4 linked regions of the Tamandua tetradactyla genome follow. The protein of the gene in region 3 interacts with the protein of the main gene of each other region in a biochemical or structural test. Links are inferred from orthologs where the notes say so. Each region holds a gene or a part of one and is shown on either strand. Other genes may lie near its edges. The genes, in order: CCNE1, CCNB1, H1-5 and PRKCD.

Region 1 (7,147 bases), on a different chromosome or scaffold from region 3:
GCCATGGCCCCATCTGAGGTACCCTAGAAACTGCCCAGGTTATCTGTAAAAAGAGAAATGATTCTAAAACTTCAAGAAGTCAATATGGATGGATCTGCTTTATCTTCAATTGGAAATTCCTTAATTTATTGCTGGAAAATAAACAATCTTGGATTTCACAAAGTAGAGATTCATTTTATAATGTCCACAAAATCAACTTGACTAAATTTTTTTAAGGGAAAGAAAACTTGGAGTGCTGTGTCCATTCCCTTTCTTCATGTGAAATATTTCTCCTACCAGAGAAAGACATCAATCCCTTGTTCAATATTCAGTGGCTCCTCCCAGGAAATCTTCAATACTAGGGTCTTTCATGCAGTGGCCAACTACTCTAAAAATTGTATGGGAAACAGGCTTTGAAGACCTTCCTTCTTCTAGACCATGCTGTTAGGGCCACTGCGTACTGCCCCATGAAGCAATGTACTGTCTGTTCCTAAACTAGCTGGGACCACTGGCCTTGGGGTGAAGATTATTTCTGCATAGCTTTTATCTGCGACAGGCTCAGAAGGCCTGACCAGCTAGTTTGAAGATAGGATGCACCTCTACTTGAGCCATAACTACAGCCCTCACCCATTTCTGGAGGTAGAAAGATAATACGAGCTTTTTCTGCAAAAAACTTGTGGTATTATAGTAACAGTACACTCCACGAAGTAAATTTAGCGGAGGGGCAAGAGAAAGGGACTAGTTGACAAAGCATGTATTGAAACACACAGAATGTTTCATTAATACTCTCACTAAGGCCAAGTTAACCTAAACCCCAAACAGCAGTGATCACTGTATTTGCTGGACAGGCTAGATCTACCAGGGTCAGAAAGGGGGAAAAGATTTGAGATCAGATCTGGGCAGGTTGGGTGTGGGAAAGAAGGGTTAGCAGAAAAAGGGTCCTAAAGCACAGTTATAGATTGAATCATGTTCCCCACAAAGATATATTCAAGTCCTAATCCCTGGTCCTGTGGTTGGGAACCCATTTGTAAATGGGATCTTTGAAGATTTTATCATGTAAGGGAAGCCAAACTGAATCAGGGTGGGCCTTAATCCAATATGACTAGAGTATTTATAAGCCGAGGAGATTTGGATATAGGAGGAGATGGGGCCATGTGGGAGAGGCAGAGATTGAGTTATGGATTGCTGGCAAACCACCGCCAGAACACTACAGACTTCAGAAAAAACATGATCCTGCAAACAACTGGATTTGGGGCTTTTAACTGCCAAACCTGTGAGACATTAAATTCCTGTTATTAAAGCCCAGCAGTCTGAGGTATTTTGTTACCGCACTCCTGACAAAATACGACAAGCATACTATGACAAAAAAGTAAGTGTGAGGGGGGAGAAATCATTGCTTTCCTTACACAAGCCCCCATCATCATAGTTATCTCAAGAGCTCTGTGTCTAGAAAGCTCCCTCCAGTTCACAGGTCTTTGAAGATAAATTTGTAGGCCCAAATCTGCCCCTGGCTTGCATTAGACTCTGGGTTACTTTCTACCTCTGCCTGGGCCTCAGTTTACTCCTGGGTAAAAGTAGAAGATTATTTGATGCCCATTTTGGTTCTTCCAGACATCTGTGCATATTTGTACTCAGAGGGTGCCAATCGGGAGTGCAAGACTTTCCTGGAATCCTGAGGTTGGCAGAGGTCAGTGTCCACAGATAGGCACAGAGTTCAGCCATATGGACTATGGCTGTAGTTGGGGGAAAGGGCTTCAGCAGGTAGCAAGGGAATATAAGACCCAATTTACACCCCCAAAAAGTGGGAGGCCCTCCTTGGAAGCCTTAACAGCAAGCATACATACCTGACTACCACAGTGGCTTCTCACAGTCCTGCCAATTTTGGCAATTTCTTCATCTGGATCCTGTAAAAACTAACATAAAACAATCCAAAGACAAAACACACAGAGAAAAAAAGAAAGTTGCTAAGGTTATAAGCACCATTTCTGCCAAACACACCCCCAACTAACCTCCTTAATATAAATATGTGGGAAGGGCCCAGTCTGGTACCCAGGTGAGATGGGGGGACCTCCCCACCTGTCTCCTTTGTACTTACAACGGCCACATTTGCCTTCCTTTTCCTGGGGCGAACAGAAGAATCGGCGCTGCCTTCCTCTTTCATGGTGCCCCGATCCTTCGCATCCCTGCAAAGCCGGGCAGCACCGTGGGCGGAGTAAGCTCTCCCCAAATCTCATCACCCCTCCCCCACCGAGACACCCCTCCCCTCCCCCGCAGCGGCCAAACCACTCACCTCTCCTTTCTCTCTCTCGGCATGACGCAAGACGCAGGCTCCGACCTCAGGCCTGGGGGACACCAATCGGGCAGTGGGATGAGGGCGGCCGCCGGGGGGGAACCAGGACCCGCTTGCCTGCCGAGGGCACCCCTCCCCCTCCCGCGCAGGCGGCGGCGGGAGCCTCCCGGGCCGGTCGGGAAAATGGCCGATGGGCCCGGGGTGGCCTGTCACCCGTGGCGCCGCTAGTGGCCGGCGATCCTGGGTCTGAACCCAGGTTAGGGGGCCCTGACGCCCCCTCGAAAACTCCTGCCGGCCCATCGTCTTCCTCGGGGCCCGGGCTGCCTCAGTCTCCCCTCAACATCTAACCCCTCACCGTGTCTCCGAGCTCCCTTACCGGGGGACCCCGCACTGACGCCTCAGGGAAACCGAAGAACCGGCCACAACTTCACCCCCTCACCCCTCGGCCCGACCCGACCCGACCCGGCCCGACCCGACCGGGTGTCCCAGGAGTTCTAGCCCGCCGCCCCGGTCCCAGCGGCCGCGCCGGGACCCTTACCCGAAGCCGTCTCCTCGGCAGGTAGGCCGGCACGAGCCGAGGTAGGGGGTGGGCGGCGAGCTAGAAGCCGACGGCGGGTAGCAGCGAGCCGAGCGCGCGGCGGTGGCGGGATCCGCGCCTCCCCCTACTCCGCGCTGGCGGCCGAGGCGGCTGCTCCTGCGCCCGGCTTCGAGCGGGACATTTAAAAAACCTAGCGCGCGGAACCGGCCCCGGCCCGCCCTCGCGCCCTCCCGCCACCCCTGCCCCGCCCCGCCCCGCCCCGGCTCCGCGCCCCTCAGCAGCCGCCGACTCGACGGGCCCGCCCAGCTGCCGCCCTCAGGACCGCCCCCGCCGCGGCGCAGGCCCGCTGAGGCGCGCAGGGGACCGTGGGGGCGGGGCCACTGCCGAGGCGGGGCCTGGGGGGGCGGGGCCAAGTGACAGGGCCTGCGCACCGGAGGGTCGGGACGCGGACGTACGAGGCGGGGCTGAGGCCAGGGGTAGGCTCTTGCAGCCGGAGGCGGGACCAGGTCCGAGCTGCGGAGCCCGCGCGGAGCCGGACGCGGGAGAGCCGGTCGGCGCGCGCGGGGAAGGGGCGGGGCCTGGCGGTGGAGCCCTCGCGGGACCGGCGGCGGGAGACTGCAGGCGCGAGCGCGGCCGAGGGGCGGCCCCTAGTAACGGGGGCGGGGCCTAACGGCGCTTTTGCGGCAAAAAGCCGCGTGGCCGGCGCGGGGGGTATGTAAACACTGCGGGTCGAAAGCGTTCGCGCCCTGGGCCGGGGTAGGGTCGGACCAGGGGTCAGGGGGGACGGATGCCTCAGAGGGCTCGACCCGGAGGACTCGCCGCCGCATCCCGCTGCGCGCATGGTCCCTGCTGGCACGTCCTCCCCGCCCCGGAGACGCAGGGTTCCGGGCCCTGGGTCCGGGGCGGGGACGGGCCCAAGGTCACAGCGCCTGGTCGCTGGGCCTGAACTGGAGCTTCCGGCCCCCAGGCCTGAGAGCCCCCTGTGGACCAACTGTTGGTTCTGGCCGCAGGTGGCGCGCTCATCCGTCCATCTATCCGTGTGTTTGTTCAAGTAAAATCGAGCGTCTTCCATGTGCGTTTTGCTTGGGCGCCCCTCCCCCACAAACCCTTGTGGGAGCGTGAGAAGGCCTTACTGATGCCCGGAGGCCCAGGGTTGCCTCCATTGCTTAAAACTTTCCTGTTGTTTCCCATCAACTTTAGGACCAAACCCACACTCTTTCCCTGCCCTATATGAGCCGCCGCTCGCCTCCTTCTCTCCCCCTCATAACTTTCTGGCCACCGTCTGTTCTCTCTCACCTCGGGGCCTTGGGGCTTGGTGTTCCCTAGTCTGGCCCACTTGGGCTGCTTATCCTTCTGGGAACCCTTCCAGGTGGTCAGTGACAGCTTAGTGTCCCTCTCCCCGGGAGTTCATCTCCTCATGGCCTTGCTAAGGTTCCTGCCCAGCAGTTGTAATATGTCTCTCGCTTCTTCTTTGTTTCCTTGTTTAGTGTCACTCTCTCTACCTTGTCTGTCTTTTTATCCCTTGCGCTTGGTATAGTGCCTGCAGGAAGGGGGAGGGATACTTAAATTGTATTTGTGAATGAATGAGTGGTTGGAAAATTATATTGGCCAAGATCTTCTGGAGCTTACTGCCTATTGGTAGAGACAGATACTGATTATTTCCACTGGAAAGTATCTTTTGTATTCAACTTCTAGAAGGAGTGTGTCATTAAGGGATCCTGAACACCCCCTAGACCCTTCCTAATCCATGTCCTCAGTCTTGTCCCCCTCCCCCATGACTGCCTTGTGTCCTCAGAGGTCCTGGCCATGGGATTCATACCCTCGCATGGGACTCAGAGACTGAGGCTGCGGAGTTAACTTACTAGGATGGCGTAGGTATGCATGGAACTTAGACTCCTGAACTTCCAGCCCTGTGCCTTTTAGTAATAACAGTTACAGGTAGCATAAACAGCACTTTCCAAATGGCAGCTTTGGGCTAAGTCCTTCAAAACATGATCTCAGTTATAAACTTCACAATAATCCTATAATGTTGGACGTTGTTTGGCCTATTTCACAGAGGGTGACTGTTTTCTAGGGTCATTGTAAAGACCAACTGAGAAAATGGAGTAGAGTACCTGGTACATAGTAAATGCTCAATAAATGAGAGTTTTCATAACAGTGTTAGCACGACAGAGTTTTCCTTGGTGAGTGTAGCAATTTGCATTTCAACCAGCAAAGAATTAAGAGTTCAGAACGGTACACTATAACCCAGGTAACATTCACCAACAGTAAAGTAGATACATAAATTTTGGTATATTCATTCGATAGAATACTATACAGCAATAAAAGGAAGAAATCACTGGAACATACAATGATGTGCATAAATATTACACACATAATGTTGAGCACAAAAAGCAGGCACAAAAGGGCACTACTGTGTGGTAGAATTCTCATCTGCCATGCCAGAGACTCAGGTTCAATTCCCGGTGCCTGCCTATGCAAAAAAAAAAAAAAAAAAAGAGCACTGCTGTGTACCGTGTGTTTTCAATTATTTGAAATTTAAGAAAACAAAATAGTCTGTGTTGGCAGTGGTCACGACACTCGTTACCTCTGGAATGGGGGTGAGGTATTGCTGGGAGGGGGCTGAGGAAACCTGTGTATAGACATGTTTTGTATCTTGATCTGTGTGGTGGTTACAGGGTGTATACCTACATAACAATTCATTGAGCTATATACTTCCTATGTGTGCACTGTACTGAATGTAAGGGAGGAAATAATTTTTCAAAGGAGTAATTCAAAACAGGGCACAATCCCTACCCACTTGGAGCTTTCAGTCTGGGAGTCACAGTACAGAGTGATAAGGGGAGGATTAGGAACATCCTAAGGGCTATGACTTCTCATGGGGAGGATCTTCTGATGCCAAGAAGGCTACACGAGAAAGCAGCAACTGAGCCAGGAGGATAGAGGAGTATTGTAGTGACAGGAAAGACAAGCATCCAAGGCAATGGAAACAACCTGCACAAAGGTGTGGAGTCTTCAGAGGTTACTGAGGGCGGCTTGTTTGGGGCAGCTCACCTTTGGTTATTTGTGTTCATTTCATTCTGTGCCTGCCTCAGGTCCAGAGTTTCCAAGCAGTGGCTCGGTCTTGGGGAAGACTGTAGATTGCATCAGAGGGTGTGAGCTAGCTGTTGCTAGCTCCCCTCCTCCATGAGACCTTGGCAAAGTTCCTTAACCTCTCTGTGCCTCAGTTTTCTCTGTAAAATGAGTCTGTAAAATGAGTCTGGTCATTTGCTGTGAGTAGTAAATATATTAATATCTGTAATGCATTTGGAAGCGTCTCTGGCATAAAGTAAGTGCTTGGTATGTGTTGAGTGTTATTCATGCAGAAATTTGAGGATGTTCGCTTAGTTTCATAAGTAGCCCAGACCCTGATGATGGTGGAGAGGTAAGGACAGGACCCAGGATGCAAGTGTTCAGGAGAAGTCAGCCCCAGGGGGCTACAAGAAGAAACTCCTTTCTAGATAGGGCTCTATAACCTGGCCCCCCAACCTTCAGGAGCTCAGGAAATGGCCTGCTGACAGTAGCTATGTGCAGTGCTGTGTGCATTCTCCTGGGCTCCTGGTCTACCCTCACTAGTTCCTCAAAGGCATCCTAACAGAACAGTCAGGAGTGCTGCTCCTGGTGAGGGTGGATCACGGGAGGTGTGGGCTGAAGCTGGGAGTGGAACTGGCTGAAGTTTTGCTGTTGAGCAGAGCTGAATGACTGTGACTGCCTGGGTGTGCCAAAGGAGGAGGGTCCAGTGAGACTGCACATGGGAATACTAGAAAAGCAGGGCCAAACTGGCTGTACAATGGGAGCTGTGGGGCAGGGGCCAGGCGGGATGGGCAGGACCAGACTGTCAACCAGAGAGGCGGCCAGAGCGGCTGCAGCCCAGCGCCAGGGAACTGGAGTGTGGGAAAGCCTGGGAGGCTTGGCTCCTGTCTTCCCTCAATGCTGAAAATCTGTCTGCACAGGCCTGCCAGGCCAACGGGAGTTAAGAGGCGGAATCCATGCTTCCTGTTGCTTAGTTATTATGGCTGGGAGAGAGTTCACACTGCTGTGGGTGGACCTGGAGGTGGAAGTTGGCCACCCATTGCCAAACCAGTTGGTGGTCCCACCCTTGGCTGAACCACTGCTTATATTGAAGAGCAAGTCCAGGGAATGCTTCTTTAGATGGAGGGGTGTGTGAGCAGTTAAGCCCCAATGGAAGTTAAAATTAGCCTTTACTTAAAGTTACTATATGATAGAATAACCATGGTGGCTTACATTTATGGATTCTGTGCTAAGTTCAGGGATGTAAAGAAGGGGTACTAATTTGAAGA
Region 2 (7,171 bases), on a different chromosome or scaffold from region 3:
ACTTGGGTATTATAGACCCCAGCTGGGTTTTCCTGGACCCAACTGGCCTCCTATCAGGGGGAAGAAATCACCTGTGTCAGTTTTCCCTGGGGGTGAGACCCAGCAGGTTGAAAGACTTTCCTGTGAAGTCTCTGGACTCTGTTTTTCTTATCTTGCCCAGTGTGTGGGGCTTGTCTGCCTTCAGGTCCCACCAGCATAAGATGATGTGGTACCTTTAACTTTGGCAGACTCTCCCTGCTGGGGATGTGGTGGAGACAGAGGACAGGTTGTAGGCTGGTTTTAATTTAATACCAAGCTCTGGTGTCTGAATTCCTTGAGGGAAGGATTCCACCTGAATTGGGCTTCACCCCTCCCCTGGGGAAGGCACAGGCTCGAGACAAGCCCTGAAACAAGCTTGTTTCTGCCTATGCCTGAGGCAGTTGCAGCCTGAGAAGTACCCTGCTACTGAATCCAGAGGCAGTCTAGCCTTTGTAGAAACACAGCCACAAAAACCTCTGCTTCTTTTCTTTTTTTCTTTTTCCATTAGCCCAATGAGCAACCTCCGCTTTGACCAGATTCACCTGAGCTGGGGGCCTATTTTTAGTAGTCAGAATTTGTTAACTAATTCCACAATTGGCGTTTGCTTGGGCTCAGCCCCTGCTGCTGGTAAACTCCTTTCCTTTCCCCTCTGGGAAGCGGCCTGTGGGGGAGGGGCGCCGGCCGCTGTAGCTTTGGGAATTCACGGTTCTGGGGGGTGCTCGCAGCTGGTCCAGCTGGTCCAGACTGGGGTATGCCGTGTGTCCGGTCACTGACGTGACCCAGGAGCTGTTCTGAACTGTTTGTGATTATTCAGTAGTTGTTCTGGAGGACGAACTAAAACGTGCACATTGCTAAGCTGCCATCTTGGCCCCTCCTGAAGTGATTCTCTTGACCAGCTCCATTGCAGCAAGCGAGTTAAAGTGTTTTTGATGAACTGTTAATGTAAATACAGTCTAGCCTATATGGTTTCATATACTATTATTGCAATTGTAAGGAACAGTTTCGAATGCAGCCTTCTAAACCAGGAATCTTCAAGCCAAGGGAAAAACCTGTTTATAAAAGTATGGAGATCAGGGTTTCTTGACTACTGACTGAAGATTTGCATTTCAATAGGCACATGGATGAGAGAAGATTAGGTTATCTGAGAGACTATCAATATTATTAAAACCAAAAAATGGATTATAAAGGTTTTGTGGAGGGCAGATTCCTTCTCTCAAGGCCTACATTGATAGCAATGTCACTCAGCATAAATACAAAAGATGCAAAAGGCACTGCCTGTAATTTTGGTAAATTTTGTAGCTGTGCTTCAAATGTCTGAGAATCATTTAAAGCAAAATCTATGAAGTCACTATTTTAAAAGCCTGTAGGTAATCCAACCAGCACAAGGACCTTTTCTTTTGATTACTTAGTTTAGAGGAAAACTGTCATTAGTTGTTTCCCGTAATGTGATACCATCAGCTTGATTTTACATTATCTAAATACCTTACCAGTATAACTGTCATATTTATAAGATAATGGAAATCAGTGTTATACTTTAAACATTATTTGACTGTTATTAACTTGTTTTTTTTTTCAAAAATAGTTGCTAGACTAATTCTGCAAGTGAAATCATTGCCCTCCCCCCTCCATCGGACATGACATCCAAGAGTGAAAGTCTCCCTGCCGGCATGGGAGATGAGTTCCAGGGATGAATCCATACCTGGCACTGTGGGATCAACAATGCCATCCTGACCAAAAGGGGGAAAAGAAATGTAACAAATAAGGTATCAGTGGCTGAGAGAGTTCAAGTAGAGTCAAGAGGCTACTCTGGAAGTTGCTCTTACACAAGCTTCAGGTAGACCTTGCTACCTATCATAACCTGCCAAACCCCAACCAGGACCATTCCAGCCAATCCTAAAGAACACCTAGGGCAATATATAAGATTCCATAAGGGTTCCATGCACTAGAGCAACTTTCCAGAAACCTACAACCTCCAGGTGGGTCCCTGGTCCAGATAAGTCCTGAAATCTAGCCATTCTCTCCAGAACATCAGATAGTTCCATCTCCCTACCCCATATTACTGACAGACCTTTCAATATAAAAAATTTAGAATTGCCATAGCCCAAACAACCCTAAAGATAGGGATGGAAAGATCAAGGATAATAGTGGAGTTATACAGAGAAGATAGGATTTAACAAATGAATATGAATGCTGAATCATTAACTTGATATCTCTTCTATCAATTAGAGCAGCTAGAAGTAAAAACCTAAAATTGTGGAATTGTAACTCGTGTCAAACTCTGAAATATGTTCTACAACTAGCTGTGCTTTGAAATTTATAGCTTTTTTGTATATATGTTATTGTTCACAAAAAAAGGAAAAAAGTCAATTGTGATAAAAAAAATATTTAAGCCCTCTAGCCTCCTATATTCTGGAGCAGCTAGAAGAAAAAATATGAGAGAATCATATGGTAGCCCATGATAAACTCCGGGATCTGTCTTATAACTACTCGTTGAAGAGTACTTTGAAAACTATTGCTTTTTCATTTCTTTGCTTTGTATATATGTTATACTATACAATAAAAAAAGTTAAAAAAATAGTTACTAGATATAATGAGCCTAAAGGTGTAATTTCTTTAGGCAAAATAGGAATTGAATCCATACCAAGAATAAACAGATAAGCAAATAAGTAAATAAATGAAGAAGGAAGATCTCTTGCTTATTGTAATAGAAGGCCAAGAGCTGAAGGGATTGCTGGAATTGGAAAGTCATTGTTTTGCAACCATCCTGATAAAGACAGTTTCAGATAAAATCATCAATGGACTCTGTGAGGTGCGATAAAGTGAAGCACAATAAAGTAAGTATGCCTGTATATATATGCAAAAAAAAATCATCAATGGATGTGAAATCTAGAGGGAGTTTTGAGGAAGAGCAGAATATTTGCATGGTCTTAGAGAGTGTCTCCCCCAAGACACTTTACTAGTTGCAAAGAAGAAAAAACAAAGCAGTAATTTTACAGTGGAGAAACCAGGTAACGTTTTTAACACGTGAACAAAATATCACCTATGAGGGACTGACGAACATTGTATTTCTATAGACTTGATACTCTGAGGATACATCACTTATGCAGTATTACAGCCAACAATGCATATTACCAATTAAAATCACAAGGAACCAGCAGACAAACAAAAAAGTGAGAAAGTTCTATTAAAAAAAGCGAAAGGACACTTTTTTGTATGCTTCAAAAATGTCAATGTGATAAGACAGAAAAGCTGTGGAAACTGTTCAGATTATAGGAGGCTAAAAAGACATGAAAATTAAGCATTTGATCATAGACTGGATCCTGTACAGGCAAAATGCTATGAAGGACATTACTAGGTCAATCAACAAAACTAGGATAAAAATTGGATTAAAGAAAGTATTGTAATAATGTCAATTTCTTAAGAAATGCACCCTGCAAAGATGGTTGAATCTGAGTAAAGACTATACAGGTGTTCGCTGCAATATTTTCATATTTGCGACTTATTCTAAGTTTGATATAATTTCCACATAAAAAACTAAAAGAAGAGATTGGCTTTGAGAAACAATTTGATTGAACTAATCGGGCAGGTTCCGAAGCTGCCACAATCCTTGAGACAATGTTATGGAAACATCATGGATCCGAAAGCCTAACCCAATCCCAGCGCCCAGCATTTGTGATCCTTGGAAAGCCACCTAAGCCTCTCCGAGCTTCAGCTGCTCCACCCCGGAGAGCTCTTGGAATGATCAAAGGAAAGAATGAATAACAAAGCCTTTCATGAATTATGATATTGACGCTACACGCCAGTGTGGAAGAGGAAAGGGGTATCAATAAGGAGGACGGAAGCCATAACTGCTCGTCACACCTCTAAAACCGCGTCCGCCGCACTGCCGCTTTCCGCGGGCCACCTCCACGGCGCGCGCACCTACGCCTCTCCAGGTGCAGAGGCTGCCCAGAGCGCGCCCAGAGCGCGCAGCGCGGAGCCCGGCCGCGCGAGGCCCCGCCCACTCCCCTCACCCCCGCCCCCGCGCCGGGGCCGCGCCCTCGCCCTGGCCCCGCCCTGGCCCCGCCCCCTGTCCAAGGGCTTCGCGGGATCGCCCTGGAAACGCATTCTGGGAGGAACTGGCAGCCGCCAATGGGAAGGGAGCGAGTGCCACGAACCAGCCAATAAGGAGGGAGCAGTGCGGGGTTTAAATCCGAGGCGGGGCCCCGCTGCTCCCGGCGTGCTGCGGAGGAACGGCTGTTGCTCTGTGGTGGCACTTGGTCCCCAGGTGGTCCGGGGCTCCCGGGTTCTGCTTCTCCCTCTGAACTGCTCCCTGGTGAAGAAGAAGCCATGGCACTCCGAGTCACCAGGGTGAGTTGCTGCGAGCCGTGAGCAAGCGTGGCCTTCCCCCCGTGCGCCCTCTCGTCCTCCGTCGCCTGCCGGAACTCCCCGACTGGGCAAGGGCCGGGCAGCGATTTGGGGAGGAGGACGGAAGGTCTCGGAGAGAGTGCCCAGGGCGCCTGGTGTGCTGGGGGAGGTGGGGAGCAGTCAGGACGGAGAGAAGGCGAAGAAAGACCTGGAAGGGCCTTGAGAAGTACTGGGGTGGGGGGGGGGGGCTGTAGCGTTGACGGGAAGCCTTTTTTAAAAGGTGGTGGAGGGCCGCCGAGTAAGCTCCCAAGCTCCCTTCCTGGAGAAAAGGTGCCTGCAATCGGAGCTTTTGTTTAGGTTTTCTTTCAAATGTAGATTCACGCTAATTTGAGAGTTGGCCCCAACTCCCCGAAAATCCCTCAGTCGGTGAGTGAAGTTCCGGGAGGGAAGTAACGTGTCACGGCCTTAGAGAAGACCCCGAGACCCAGTTTTCCCCTCCCCGCAATTTCACTCGGATTTCCGCCTCTCTTGTGCCGCACCTTAATTAACCCTCGACTCACCCCGGCCGGGCTTGAGCAGCTCTGAACTGATCTTGCTTCTTGCAGAACACGAAAATTAATACTGAGAATAAGACGAAGATCAGTATGGCGGGCGCAAAGCGAGTACCTTTGGCCTCTGCTGCAGCTTCCAAGACAGGGCTGAGGCCAAGAACAGCTCTTGGAGACATTGGTAACAAAGTCAGTGAACAGCCACAGGCCAAAATGGCCTTGAAAAAGGTAACTTAGCTTCCTGGCCTAATTTCTCCGTATAAACCCACCTCGCAACTGTGGCTCTTGATGGTGGAATATTCCATTCCTTTCCTTTCATCTACAGGAAGCAAAAGCTTCAGCTATTGGGAAAGTTATGGCTAAAAAACTACCCAGACCTCTGGAAAAAGCAGCTTTGCCTGTGCCGGAGCCAGAGCCAGAACACGAACCAGAACCGGAACCCATTAAAGAAGAAAAATTTTTGCCTGAGCCTATTTTGGTAAACGCATTGTTACCTACTTTAGTGTCCTTTCCCCTCATTTGACTAATGCATGGGATAACATTTGAATACTAATAGAACATTTTAGTTCATACCCTGAGACAGGCTCTATTAAGTACTTTTCATGCATTAACTTGCCTAATCTTCGCATATACTCTCTCAGGTAGCTGTTATTACTTCTACTTTTTAGATAATGACTTAGAAAGGTTATAAGTATCTTTTCCAGAGTCATAAAGCTAATAAGTAGCACGTTCAGGACTCAAACCTAAGCTGTCTGGCTTTAGAACTAGTGCTTCTAAGTGCTCTCCAATACTGCCCACCTTTGTTAATGGTATTAAGTAGTAGCTGCCTGGAGCAAAGATTTTGCTGACCAAGTTCAAACCATTCATGTCTCAAATTTCTTGACTGAAATACAGAATAGTCTCTTAAATCTTTTTTTGGTCACCTAGTTTCCTTAGGTATCCTGTGTTAGTGTAACATTAATTAGATCACTTCATGATAATACCAGAATTAAATAGGTTTGTATCTTCTGTTCAGGTGTGCCTCTGAAAAGTTGTTTAGGGTTGACTTTTCCAGCAATTCTATGTAAATCCTATAATAAGAGAACTTGCTAAGAAAAAGAATTTTAACTCAGATTTTTTACCCAAGAAAAATGACAGGCTTGGTAATTCCCTTGAGAAGAATGTACTGCTCCAGTTTTAGGAGCCTTAAAGGTGGGAATTTTCTTTTTTAATGTGTTCATTGGATAATTAGCCTGTAACATTGGAATGTATGAAGGTATGAGGTAGAAAGATAATGTAGCTAGCTCTTCAGAAGGAGGCAAGAAGATGAATTAACAAGCTAGGCTTAAAAACCAGGACTTTTTATTAAATATCAGATACATAAATATATCTACTCCTCTGAAAGGAGGACAAGCCATCCAGAAAATGGGGCATTCTACAGATATTGTAATGAAATGTATTCCAAGGCTCTAATTTTTAAAACTTAGGTTGGGAAAATAATCTATTATCATCTAGTTATTCAGCCTAGATGTTGATATCTAAGGGTAAGAGATTTGAAGCCTCTCTGCTTTAGTATTGATCTTCGGAACATAGCATATCAAACATGTAGCTGACAGTCATTAATATGGACATACCAAACTACCTAAGGTTTCCTTGAAAGCACTGTACTGATTCCTGCCTTTACTTTCTTACTAAGAATGCTTTCTCCCACCTTCTCTCATCTACTTGGTAACCTTTTCATCCCTCAAAACAAAACTCAAGCATTAACCTGTAGAGCTATCTCTAATTTCACCTACTGCTACCCATGTTTCTAGAATCAATCTCTCATTGATTTATTCTTCTAAATTCTAAGCTTAAGGATTTCAAGAATTCAGTGCCTTAGAAGACAACTTGCAAAACATGCTCAAATATTTGAATAATGTCGGGAAGAGAGCATAAAGGAAATGATTAATCACCGTGAGAAGAAGCCCATATTTTGAAGGGGAAAAAAGTATACATCTAAAGACTGGCTTCTCATTAGTTCAGGTCTAAGACTGCCTTGTCAGTCACTTAGATTCTTCACAGATGGCACTAATAAACAGATACTACTTTTCTTTAAAGGAAGGTCTAGAATATGAAAGTATTTGCTCCTGCTACATTTTACCTTTTAGCACTGAGGTTCTGCTGACTTCAAATTGGCTCAGTTTAAGCTGGCATTTCACTTTTGATATTAATTACTTATTAAAGAGAAATTGAATAAATCTGAAAAGACAATAGTTTTTCCTTAAGGAAGTGAGTTG
Region 3 (5,314 bases):
TCGGCATATCAAAATCATACAAGTGAGTCGTCAACTGCCAGAATAACACTCGACCAATCAAAAAGTATGGCGCGGGTTTTTAAAATTAGTTTCTCTTTTCGTAGCTGCCCCGTAAAGAGCATCAGGTCGAAAGTAGGTTGCAGACAATTTACATTAAGAGAATTTTTTGCAGGGAAACAGTGTAGTAAACTGCTAACTCCTTACCGTACGGGGCGCTTTGCTCTGCCTAAACCAATTTATTATAAACAGGCAGGCTGTTTTACTAAATGACCAAATTTGCACCTCTGACATAGGATGTAACAAATATTAAGAGAACCAAATAAATATTTGGAAGTAGCCGGAAGGGGTACTGTCCCACAATCTTAAAAGAAATGTCATGTGGACAGAGCTGCAGGGTTACTATTGTTCACACAAGCCCCCCTAGGAGCTGGTACTCACTGATGAAGGTTTATTCATCAAGGAGGTAGACAGGAGGTTTGAGGATTGGTATTATAGTGCACAGCTTTTTCATGAGACCTTTGGGTGGCTCTGAAAAGAGCCTTTGGGGCTTTATTCACTTTCTATCACACCAGGTTCCTACTTCTTCTTGGGAGCCGCCTTCTTAGCCTTTGCAGCTTTGGGTTTGGCAGCCTTGGGCTTAGGGGCCTTAGGTTTAGCCGCTTTCGGCTTCACGGCCTTAGGCTTGGCTGGGCTCTTGGCCGCCTTCTTCGGCTTGGCGGCAGCTTTGGCCTTCTTAGGACTCTTGGCTACTTTCTTGACGCCTGACGCCGCCGGCTTCTTGGCCTTCTTCGGTGTCTTCTTCACCGCCTTCTTCGCGCCCGCAGCCTTTTTGGGCTTCTTAGGCGTGGTTCCGGCGGGCTTCTTAGCCTTAGCCGCACCGGCCTTCTTGGCCTTAGGTTTGGCTTCTCCAGAGGCCGCCTTTTTGTTGAGTTTGAAGGAACCGGAGGCGCCGGTGCCCTTGGTCTGCACCAGCGTGCCCTTACTCACCAGGCTCTTGAGTCCCAACTTGATGCGGCTGTTGTTCTTCTCCACATCGTAGCCGCCGGCCGCCAGCGCCTTCTTGAGCGCGGCCAAGGAGAGACCATTGCGCTCTTTGGAAGCGGCTACCGCCTTAGTGATCAGCTCAGACACCGGGGGGCCGGTCGCTTTGCGTTTAGCAGCGCCGCCGCCTGCCGCCTTCTTAGTCGCCTTTTTCTTAGCAGGAGACTTCTCCACCGGCGCCGGGGCGGCGGTCTCAGCAGGAGCTGTTTCCGACATGGCGAGAGGATGAACTAAAGAAGAGATTCTATACCGAGAACGAACAAGTTCAGCAATGCTGGCCCAGGCCTGCCCAGGGCTTATATAAGCCGACGCTGCCGTGTGATTGGTGGAGCGTCCAATCCGCCGCCCTCGGGCTCTCGCCGCTCGGGGTTGGACTCCCAAGTTGTGTTTGTTAGTCTCCAAAATTTTATTAAATGCTGAAAACAGCAGTACAGAATTTGACGCTTTTAAGTTCCAAAGGAAGAAAACAGCCTCAAGATTCACACACTTGTTTTTGTTTTCATGAACCGTGCGCAACTGATAAAAGATATTTCTGAAAATCCTTTCAGGTTTTCATATGAACCCACGTGGCTGAACACAAGTTGCTAGTTAGTGGCATGTTGCAAGAAATTTCTACCAAGTATCCAGCAAAAGTTATCTAAGATAATTTTTCCATAGGTTTGGCCTTTGATTTTTGCGGGAGGAAAGACACAGTGTTCCTTAGTTTGGGGAGAAACTTTGTTTCCAAGTGTACCAAGTAACACAGGCCAGGGCAGCTGGTTGCCTATAGTCCCAAATTAACTGCATTAGACCCTTCTTTAAAACTTGGTTCTGCCTCCTAGGAGTGTCCATGTGCTGGTGTCCTTCGAGAATGAAACTTAGGAGCTTGAAAAAGGTCAGTTGCCAGAATGACATCTTCCATATTGCAGTAGGATGAGTGCACATAGCTCTGGCTTCAGAGTCCAAAAACCTGGATTCAAATTGCTTTTGAATTTGGTATGTGAACTGGCTGAGATGCTTTCTCTTTAGTTGACCAAAGCCATTACCATGACAAAAAATGCATAGCCAGATGATTTGCTTTAAGCAAAAACCCTCAAACCTGCTGAAAACTATTCAAGGGCTCGCAGTAGTCTCAGAATAAAGCACCAACTGTTTAGATGACCTTGGACCCTGTCAGGCTCACAAGACATTTTTTTCCCAGTGCTCAGACACTGACTCCTTAGCTCAAAACTTAATGAGTCTTAAAGCTCTTGTCCAAGCAGCCAGGAGACTCCAGTGGGATATTTCTGTCTATTTAATCAGGGATAGACTTGTATTATGGAAAAGTATCTGACTACTGAGAGAAGGGTGGTTTGGATATTGAGGGACTAGAAGTTATAGAAGTTCAGGATAATTCATGAAAGCATCTCCCCGCCCCCCCCCCAAAGGAATGGATGCAATGATTATGAGGTTGCAATGGATGGTGCAAGAGTCTGATATATATTTGGGAGAAAAATGGACAGGATTTTGATTTCGGTTGATGAGGAAGATCAGATGATAATTTAGATCTCTAATGCAATTGACAGTCACTTAGTTCTTGCCAGTGAAAAACTGTACGACTGTGGAAGAATGGCTGAATGGTCAATCCCCCTTTTCTTCTTTCCAGGAACTCCAGGAGCAGATAGCAAACTATGGTTTTGGGGCCAAATCCAGGCAGTGACCCATTTTCATGTGGCCCTCAAGCTAAGAATGGTTTTTACATTTTAAAAGTCTCATTAAACACACACACAAACCGAAAGAATAAGCGACACAGACCATGTGTGACTTGTAAAACCTAAAATATTTGCTAACTGGTCTTTGTGCTGTTTCAAACTCCACACAGAGACAGATCATAGTATATTGCTGCAGGCCTTTTTCAGGACCATGCAAATCAAGAATTAAGGAAAAGGGAATCGAAGCAAGAAATTTTCTTATCAAGTATTTTTCACTGTTCAATCACAATATTTTCAAAGGATCCGGGGGTAGGAAAAAAAAAATCTCAAAACTCCATGCTCCCAGGGGTGGGTTTGGGAACAACAATAACAGCTAACATTTAATGAGTATTTGCTAAGTGCTATGAACTATGTTCTACAGGTTTTAATTCATTTGCACATTTTACGGCTTTATAAGATGAGACACACAGAGAGAATGAGTGACTTTTCCAGAGATATTTAGCTAGCAGCTGGCAGCAATGGGGCTGGAGTCTAGATTACTAGGCTCCAGATCTATTATGGTAGAAAAATATAGGGGGGGGGCGGTTAGGGAGGGGGACCATATATGAACTTTGGAAGAAGCAGCATCAAGCTGACCATACAACTAACTGACAGCCCCTAAAGGAGCTCTAAGTTCTAAAGAATCTATAGGAAGATGCTGCTGGCTGGTCCTATCTATTTCTTTTTGCAGAATCAATTTCCATATTCCAAAAAAACCTTGAGTGAGCCAGTGGGTGGAATACAAGCCTCCTTTGTTAGGCTGATGTATGAACTAGGGTTAAAACAAAGGCCTAGAAGATTAACCTACCAGAGAACACTCAAGAAAAAATTGCACTGACATTAACTGCCACCTCCTGGAGTTAAAAGGGTGTACCCTAAAAGGAAAGTAGCACACAATTAGGTAATTAATAATCATATGTTAAGAACATAGAAACTTTCAAGACAACTAAAAATATTGAGTCAGGCTAATAAGCAGGTCCTAATGTGTTAGGTTAAGTGTTGAGATTACTGAGACCAGTAACTGCTTTCAAATGCAATCTTTGCTTGTCTGCTGCTACTTGAGAGTCACAGCAATCACAAGAGTATTGTGAAAGACTGGAGCGAGTATTTAAATTTAACTACACCTGGACAATGGAACGTAGGAGAGGGAGTTAACGGTAAAGGATAGGCAAGATAAAACTAAGGAAGGGATGGGAGCCTTTCAGTTTGCTAAGGCGTTAAAAAAAAAACCTAATACCACCTCATGAATGCAGAACGCATTTATCCATTTACAGACTTGGTGCCAATTGCCCTGCCGGAAATAGCCATGTCAACGTTTGATCGGTACTCAGCCTCTTAGTTTAATCCACGTGGCACTGGGTGTTGAGTCCAGCTTGTAGTGACAAGGTATAAACAACTCCTTTCTTGACAATTGAGGGGCTCTTAAAAGAGCCTTTTGGACGGCACTATAGTGAAACACTGCGTATACTTAAGCCCTCTCGCCACGGATACGGCGGGCGAGCTGGATGTCCTTGGGCATGATGGTGACGCGCTTGGCGTGGATGGCGCACAGGTTGGTGTCCTCGAACAGCCCCACCAGGTAGGCCTCGCACGCCTCCTGCAGCGCCATCACGGCCGAACTCTGGAAGCGCAGGTCGGTCTTGAAGTCCTGCGCGATCTCGCGCACCAGCCGCTGGAACGGCAGCTTGCGGATCAACAGCTCGGTGGACTTTTGGTAGCGGCGGATCTCGCGCAGCGCCACGGTGCCGGGCCGGTAGCGGTGCGGCTTCTTCACGCCGCCCGTGGCGGGGGCGCTCTTGCGGGCTGCCTTGGTAGCCAGCTGCTTGCGCGGCGCCTTGCCGCCCGTGGACTTGCGAGCTGTCTGCTTAGTACGAGCCATAACGGAGAAGAGTAACAGTCGCACAGAAGTGAGACTGAAGGATGTTAGTCCCAGTATTTATAGCGACTGTCGCGTTCTGATTCGACAGATTTCTACTGACCTAGCTCACCCACCTGATTGGTTCTCTGTTCAATCCCTTAATGAATGGGAAATATTTCCCACTTCCATTTCAGTCTGGTAAAGTCTACAAAGAAAGTTACCTACCTCTTAACAAAGCCTGTAGGTTTTTTTTTTTTTAACGCGTCAGAATTACGTGTGTTGTTGGTTTGAGAATCTAAAAGCGCCTAGCGCTTTTTTTAAATAGAAAGTGACCTGAATGATTTCCTGCCACAAAACATTATTGAGTAACGTGTTAAGGAAACGAGATCAGTTTAATTAGGGGGTTCAAGTACTTTGAAATCCGAGTCGCTAAGCGCTATACCTATAGTATTAAATTTTAAGCGTACTTAAGAACCACCCCAAGGCACTGTTAAAGCCACGGCCAGCCAACTTTCCTGTAAAAGGGGACTTCATTGGCTTTGAAGCTGTTGCCACGTATTTACGTTTGACTTTATAGAGTGATAGAACTTAAAAACACAACATAAATGCCCCCCGGCTATGTGAATAAAACGTGACAGTGGATTTGGCTGTCGTCGACCCAACTTGCCCGCCGGTAGAATTTACCCCTGAAATCGTCTAAGTGCTT
Region 4 (7,298 bases), on a different chromosome or scaffold from region 3:
AGGAATGAATGGCAAAGGCAGCAAGAGGGCTTGAGTCTCCTGGCTGCAAGGCCTGAGCACTTTTACTGTAGGCCAGGCTATGACTCCACCAAAGATTTCCTTCCCCAGAGGTGCGCCCCTTCTCCAGATACAGACCCCCATAACTACTCCCTTGGGGCCGATGCAACCTCAGGTTTTATCTTTTTGTCTGCACTTTAAATAACTTCTAGTTTTGATTTAAACTCCAATTACCTATACCATCTAAACTAAAGTGTCAGTGCCCTGCAGTCACAGCTCCAAATCATCCCCCACCCCACTGCACCCCCTCCCCCAATGCTGTTGCCAAGCCTAGGAGTGGTGGACGGGTGTCACGTAGACTGAGTGGGGGGGGGTGCTGGGGGCTCTGTCAGCCCCTCCTTCCTCCTACAAACAGTCTGGTCAAAGGGGTAGGAGAGGTAACTGACATACCAACAGACAGCAAGGCAGGAAATTGGGTTGGAGACTATCTAGGCTTTCATTATCCCTAGCTCCCAAGAGAATGAGGACCATAAAGTTGGGGGCAGAGATGGGGAGGTGGGGGATGGTTACTAAACTATACTTAGTATGTGCCAAGCATTCATTATGAGTGAAGGCTGTGCTAAAGGACTTTCAACACAGGATCTCCAGCCCTCACAGCAGCCTTCTCCATTCTGCAGATAAGGAAGCTGAGCCTTAAAGGGGCCTAGCTCAGGGCTTTTGCTCTTAAGACAAAAGACTTGAGCCCAAGTCTTTCCTGGTTCCAAAGTCTTGATCACAACACTACAAACCCCAGGGTTTTCCCTTTGGTGTCTGTCAACTTGGGAGAGTGGAGGCAGGAGCAGGGCTGGGCTTGGTGCATGTCATGTGCACACCCCCACCCTTGCAGCCTCCCACACGCTCAAATATATGCTGGGGACTCTCACCCCACCCCGCTCCCCCAGCACTGTTACCTGGGACACAGACCATGCACACACCTTGTCACACCCCCTCCTGCACCAACACCCACACTTAGGGCACTCTCAGTTCCCCACAGACACAGTCACGCCCTGAGCACACACACTCGCAGTTTCATACAGTCAGACTGTGAGTCTCCCACCAGTCACTCACTCACACTGGAACCTCACTCCACCAATGCCTCACCCTCAGCCAGGGCTGTCACACACTGGATCCCCTGCACCATCTCACGGGCAGGCACAAACACCTCCACATCTCACAAACACACACACAAACACAGGTCACACAGCTGCTCTCTGCCAGCTTGTCTGCCTGCCCCACCCCATAGTCCACAGCAGGAAGGAGGAAACCCAAGGGACCAGTCCCTTCCCTCAGTGACCAGGGCAGCCTAGCCCCAGCAGCTCAGTGGCAAAAGGAAAGGAAGAATCAAATATGTATACATACATACACACACACAGACGCTTACGTGAGGCTGGCATCCTGATACCAGGGGCTCCCACGATTAACAGCTCAAATGTAGTCATGGCCAATGGGTCACCCCATGACACACCCATGCAATGCGATACCCTCCAGACACTCACGGGGATATACACACACACACACACACACACACACACACACACACACTCCAACACATGGAGAGGAGTCTGGTGACAAAGAACACACCAAGACATGACACATACATAGTTGCAAAGGACACATGCAACCAGACACACACATACACATTGACTATTCACATACATTAAAAAGGAAACACACACAGGGGCAAGTCCCAGACCCCATGACAAAGAATATACAAGAAGGCACAAACACAATATACCCACATGCCCAGACACAGGCAACTCATTATAAGATGTAGGATCGGCACATACAGTATGGGGACCAGAGAAAAGGACCCTCCCCCATACTATCAAATCATTATGACCAGGTTTAAGCAGGGGGGTTGGTGGGGCTCTCCCCTCCCCCCAAAAGTTAGGGAAGTGGGGGCTTTTCTGACCTTGCTCACCTCCTACCCCACCCCCCACCCCAGTGGACAAAAGGGTGTGCCAGGCCCCTTCCTCCCCTTCCCCTCACCAGGCTGGGGTGGGCTGGTGGCGCCTGGGCAATGGAGGAGCCTGGCTGGGGACAGATAACCAGGCAGGGGCCACCGGAGGAGGGGGCTGAGAAGAGCTGAGGGGTGGAGAGGCGGGGCCGGAAGGGGGATGGAGGCTGGAGGGACGCTCAATTCAGAGACAGCTGGAGAGACAGAGACATCGAGACTGAAAGAAGAAATACAGCAAGAAGTAGGCCCTGCGCGGACTGGACAGGGACCCAGGACGGGAGGACAGACGCGGTGGCCAGCCTGGCCTCGGCCCTGGAGTGGAAAAGAGGACGTAACAGATAGACAGGGGACAGCGGAGGGAGAAGCGGACATGGGCAGGGGGCGGGCTCCGGCAGGACAGGACCAAGGGGTCCGGGGAGGGGGGCGATGGGGCAGGCGGAGAGATTGACACAGAAAGGGGCTGGGGAGTGCTGGACAGGAGGACATAGAGCGATGGGGATGGACAGAGAGCCCCAGAAAGACTCGAGAGAGACAGACAGACACTTGGAGGAGCTAGAGGCACAGAGGCTGTGTAGAAGGGCTAGGGACAAGGGGCCTTCGGCCCCGCCATTTGACGGAGGGACCGACAGACGGATGGACCGAGGGACCAGAGGGTCTCCGCGGACGGCGGTACTTTCTCTGGCCGCGGCTTAGTTTCTCGGTTTCGGAAACGGGAACTGGAGACTGGGAGGGGATTGAGAGGAGTGGCGCGCCCTCCGGGTAGCCCCGACCCCGAGCCCAGGCCCGGCCCTCACTCACCTCCGGGCTCGGGGCCAGGCGCCAGGGGTCTCGGTGGGCGGAGTCTGGCTCCCGGCGTGACTCCGGGACTTGCGCGGGCGAGGGTCGGTGCGGGTCCTGACTGGGGCGGACGAGGAGATCTATGCGGTACGGCCCGGGTCTCGGATCGGCTGGCGGACGCCGGGGGTCGGACGGGGATTCGGGACTCCAGCGGGCTCCCGCTCCTGCGCCGCAGCACACGGAAGTGCCAGGGGGCGGGGCGGCGCGACCTCACCCAGGTGCCGGCAGGCCCCGCCCACGGCCGGCCCCGCCCCTTGGTCCGCCCTCGCCAGCCCTGAGCCGGGGTTTGGTGTCTGCCTGGCTCGGTGCGCGTGGCTCCCTGTCTGGGCCTCTCAGCCCTTCCCCGCACACTTCGCGCTCTCGCCCGCCATGAGCGCGCGCACCAGCCCTCAGAGCGGATTCCGTTTTACAGGAGGGCGCTGAGACCCGGGCCGTGCCCCCCTGCCACTGCTCCCGTACACCCGGGTCCCCCTCGTCGGAGGCGCCGGCGGGGGTTCCCCGACTTTCCATGCTCCGGACTCTCCACTCGCCAGCTGGCTCGCCTCGCCCAGCTTCGCTCCTTCTCTTCCTGTTGGCTGGAGCGCGTCCGTGGCCGGGCTCGGTGCCCACAGCCAGGCCTGCCGGTCCCGGCCCAGACTCCAGAGACGGAACTGGAAAGACTCCAGGGCGGGAGCTTCTGGCTGGTCCGCTGCTACTCCACAGGCGGTTCTGGGTGCCGCCCCTATCCAAATCCGCCCTCCACCCCCCCACCAGTCTACCACTTTCCTGCTGCCACCTTGGGGACCTCCCCCAGCAGGCATCCGAACTTCCTTTCCAGACCTGGAACCTGGAAATGTTAGTCATCATTTATTCATTCATTCATTGACTGAGTGTTCTCCTGGGGACCGAGTGGGGCCCAGGGGAATTCATTCCTCTGCCCCCAAAGCTCTGAAAGCTATTAGCCCAATACTCATCCAAAAAATGTCACCTCCCAAAAGGCAAAAAGGGAGGTTTCCCACATTCTGGAGGAATAATTAGAGAGGAGGAAAGGGGAGGGTCAGAACAGCTTTTCCTAAGCCTAATGGATGGAATGGGGGACAATTCCTGAGGGGGCCTGAGTTGAGCAAGGAGCCCATGCAGAGGCAGTTAGCTGTGGCCAGAACTTTGATCCTCTCAAGGAGCAGGAAGGTGGTGGAGGCTGTTACTGGGATGTGATAACAGGATCAAGCAGACCTTTGAGGAGATGGATGGACAGAGGGATGGGGGTAAAAGGGGCAGAGAAGAATGGATGGGGCAACAGGGCTGGGACAGAATGGATAGGGAAGAGAGGCTTATAGGAGATAGGAAATAGGAGAGGATTGATGGGAAGCAGAAGGACTACAGTGAGGGGGAGGGGTGTATGGGGAAGGACAGAGGAGCTGCCACATTGTTCAGGTGGGAGGAGTCTGGGTTGAGGTCAGGGCAGATGCTGGCAGAGAAGGGGCCAGACCCAGATGGTTTGCCCAGCTGTGGGAATAGGAGGGGAGGGTTTTCCAGTGAGATTCCTGGGGCTAGTGGATCCCAAATCCAGTTTGAGTATGAGATCCCCAGTCGGGGAGGAGGGGGAACAGGGCTAGAGGCAGAAATACAACACTCATCTGAAGTCCTGGGGTGGGAGTGTGCGTGGAGGGGAGGGCAGGGGGTGCTTTACACCTGGGAGGAGGGAGGACCCAATTTGAAAAGAAAATAAAGATGAGGCTCCCAGTCCTGATTCCTCTGCTCCACCCAAGGAGAGCTCCAGGTGTAGTCACCAGACCTTTCCTACCATACCCTGCATGCAGTTCAACTTGGAAAAAGGGAAAGAACAGTGGCTGTCACTGACTGGGACTTCGCCAGTGTCAGGCCCTGTGCTAGGTGCTGGATGTGGGTGATCTGTTCAGTCCTCGAGACCAAGTGAGGTGAGGGCTGTTGTTAACACCAGTTTTAGTGAGGAGAAAACTAAGGCTCAGTGAGAGGTGATGCCACTTGTCAAAGGTTCTATATTTGTAAATGGCGGGGGCAGGATTCAAATTGAGGTCTGCTTATCTCCAAAGCCCATGCCTTACTTTTGAATCCGAGGTTCTTAATCTCAGCACTACTCGTCTTTGGGCCAGATAGTTCTTTGTTGTAGGGTCCATCCTCAACCTGTGCATTGTAGGATGTAGCAACACACCTGGCCTCTATCTGGTAGATGTCAATAGTACACACACACACACACACACACACACACACACTGAGTTGTAACAAACGAAAATGTCTCCAGACATTATTAATGTTCTCTGGGGGCAAAATCACTCCTTGTTGAGAACCACTGTTTTAGATCTGGGCTAGTGTTGCAGGAGCAAGAAGGATTTGGGTTAGATACTAAGAAGCATTTTTCTGGCCCTCAGGATTATGCAGACTCATGATCTTAGGGACTGAGAGCACACATTCACTTCAGCTAATTTTCTTCCTCTGGAGACTCCAAAGGAAAGTGTAATGCACTTAGACAAAGGGCAGAACAGCTGAGGCTGTGCAGCCTACGCCCTGGCCAAGGTAAAGGAGGGAGGCAGCTGGGCTTCCCTCCAGGGACAGGTGTGTATCCAGAAGCCTGAGGAGGATCAGGCTTGAGTGAGGTCCAGGGAGTCCAGGTCAAGCTTGGCTAGAGCCTCCCTGTACCCTGGATCTCCTCCTGAGTACCGCACAGAATGGGCCAGGACAGATCCAGATGAGCTTGTTTCTGTGCCCCCACAACCTGCCTGGCACTAACCTAAGAAGGGCCTGCTGAGGCCTGGGGACAAGACTTGGCTGTGCCACTTGGGCAGATGAATGCATCTCTCTGAATCTAAGTCTGCTCTGTGAAAGGAGCTGATGACCTACCTATTGGTAGGTCATCAGAGTGGGTAGAGTGGGCACCCAGTGAGGACTTGGACCACATTGGCCACATACTATGGGTACGGTCATTGTGCTGAGTCACAGATTGTCAGCCTCAGAAGAGCCCTCAGTGGCCTTAGTGATGTGGGCCATAAATCCCCTGGCAGGGCTGGGCCCAGTGCAGCAGCCAGAAGTGGTACTTTCCTTTCCCCCTCCTCCATGTTTACAGCCAAGGAAATGGGACTGTCCAGTGTAACAACTGAGCAGCATCCTGGACTCCCACCTCCGGCATCCACTGGGGCTGTTCCTCTACAGTCGCCCTGCAGGGGATGTCCAGAAGAGGGGCAGCCTGCCCCGGGCCCTGTCTTGCCCAGAGGCCATGAACACTGGGCAGCCCTCAGGCCTTCTACAGCAAGTTCAGGATTCAGTCAAGCAGCCTTCCTCTGACCCCTCCCCCAGCAGCTGTGGGTGGACCAGGGACCCCCAACTGCTCCCTGCCAGTTGGTCCTTGCCTCAGCCTCTTCCTCATTGGCCCCTCACTGTACCTCCTGCTCTCTCTTCTCACTCCCTCTCTTTGTTTCTGCCTGTTTTGCCATCCCTGTCCCTGAAGCTTTGGCTGCCAGCACCATCCCCATCACACCCAGAACGCTGGCCCAGCCAAGAGACAGTAGGCTCCTGTTTCTGGGGCAGGAAGTCCAGGCCAGCAGGGACCGTGCACCTGCACAACTGCGGGGGATGGCAGAACCTGGGAGGGTTCCACTGGGGGTAGGTGGGTAAGGAGGGCCCTTGAGACATGGTCCAACCTGCAGCCATGCCTCAGGCCACCATCAGCAGAGGCTTCAGCCTGGGGCACTGGGTGTGGGGGAGGGTAAGGGCAGGTTGGGCAGGCAGTGGCCAGGTTCACATCCTGGCTGTGTCCTGGACCTGTAATTTAAGTGCGCCTCAGGGTCCTCATCTGTGGAATGGAGATGATAAGAGTAATATCCACCTCACAGGCTTGCTGAGAGGATTGAAGAGACCAGGCTCCAGGGGCTCTAGCAGCAAAGCTACTAACTACAAAGAGTTGGGAAGGCCAAGCTAATGGTCTCCAAGTTCCTTCCTCAATTACATTTGTGCTTGGGTGAAACTTGCGAAATACTTGGGGTAGACAAGGGGAAGATGCTTTCTGAGAGCACAGGGCTCAGGGATTTTTTAAAGCCGTACAGGGGTACACAGCCCCTGACTGTCCCCACCCAACACTGACCAAAGCACAGCCCTCACTGGCAGCTCCTGGGCTTACCTGTTCCCCAAAGAACGTGGAGGGAGGGAGGATGGGGGTTCTTATTTCCGAGCAATCCCAGGCAACAGCCATCCTCTCCGCATAGAGTCCCAAGGAGCCGCCAACTCTCCTCCACTGCCCCCACCTTCCCCACCTCTGTGTCCCAGGATCCACCCTGCTCTGGCCTGCCACGTCTTAGGTGCTGACACCTTGAGTGTCCCAGATGCTCTGGGCCTCACCAGCCCCCTCACCTGCCAGTGCCTCAGTCTCCCTCTGCAGAAGACAGCTCACCCAGCCCATCTTGGCTGGTGGGAAGCTGGGAGCTTGCGGGTGCCCCGGGCTGGAGGACGGCCCCTCTCA

What was found.
Region 1: of the proteins of H1-5 (region 3) and CCNE1, one has a biochemical effect on the other in vitro, tested with the Homo sapiens proteins (4 studies listed by BioGRID). The link is inferred for Tamandua tetradactyla from reciprocal best matches to the Homo sapiens genes H1-5 and CCNE1.
Region 2: of the proteins of H1-5 (region 3) and CCNB1, one has a biochemical effect on the other in vitro, tested with the Homo sapiens proteins (2 studies listed by BioGRID). The link is inferred for Tamandua tetradactyla from reciprocal best matches to the Homo sapiens genes H1-5 and CCNB1.
Region 4: of the proteins of H1-5 (region 3) and PRKCD, one has a biochemical effect on the other in vitro, tested with the Homo sapiens proteins (2 studies listed by BioGRID). The link is inferred for Tamandua tetradactyla from reciprocal best matches to the Homo sapiens genes H1-5 and PRKCD.

The regions. Positions count from the first base shown.
Region 1 is NC_135342.1:37,230,685-37,237,831, forward strand, and holds the start of CCNE1 (G1/S-specific cyclin-E1), read right to left. Parts: upstream 3,012-7,147; 5' UTR 2,808-3,011; intron 2,747-2,807; exon of another isoform or gene 2,646-2,746; intron 2,322-2,645; 5' UTR 2,293-2,321; coding exon 2,270-2,292; intron 2,163-2,269; coding exon 2,075-2,162; intron 1,893-2,074; coding exon 1,824-1,892; intron 1-1,823. UniProt on the Homo sapiens protein: Essential for the control of the cell cycle at the G1/S (start) transition.
Region 2 is NC_135335.1:117,328,382-117,335,552, forward strand, and holds the start of CCNB1 (G2/mitotic-specific cyclin-B1), read left to right. Parts: upstream 1-4,149; 5' UTR 4,150-4,347; coding exon 4,348-4,368; intron 4,369-4,970; coding exon 4,971-5,141; intron 5,142-5,238; coding exon 5,239-5,391; intron 5,392-7,171. UniProt on the Homo sapiens protein: Essential for the control of the cell cycle at the G2/M (mitosis) transition.
Region 3 is NC_135351.1:30,971,328-30,976,641, forward strand, and holds H1-5 (histone H1.5), read right to left. Parts: upstream 1,321-5,314; 5' UTR 1,258-1,320; coding exon 577-1,257; 3' UTR 517-576; downstream 1-516. Other genes in the region: histone H3.1, read right to left, coding at 4,219-4,629. UniProt on the Homo sapiens protein: Histone H1 protein binds to linker DNA between nucleosomes forming the macromolecular structure known as the chromatin fiber. Histones H1 are necessary for the condensation of nucleosome chains into higher-order structured fibers.
Region 4 is NC_135341.1:32,530,749-32,538,046, forward strand, and holds the start of PRKCD (protein kinase C delta type), read right to left. Parts: upstream 3,005-7,298; 5' UTR 2,792-3,004; intron 1-2,791.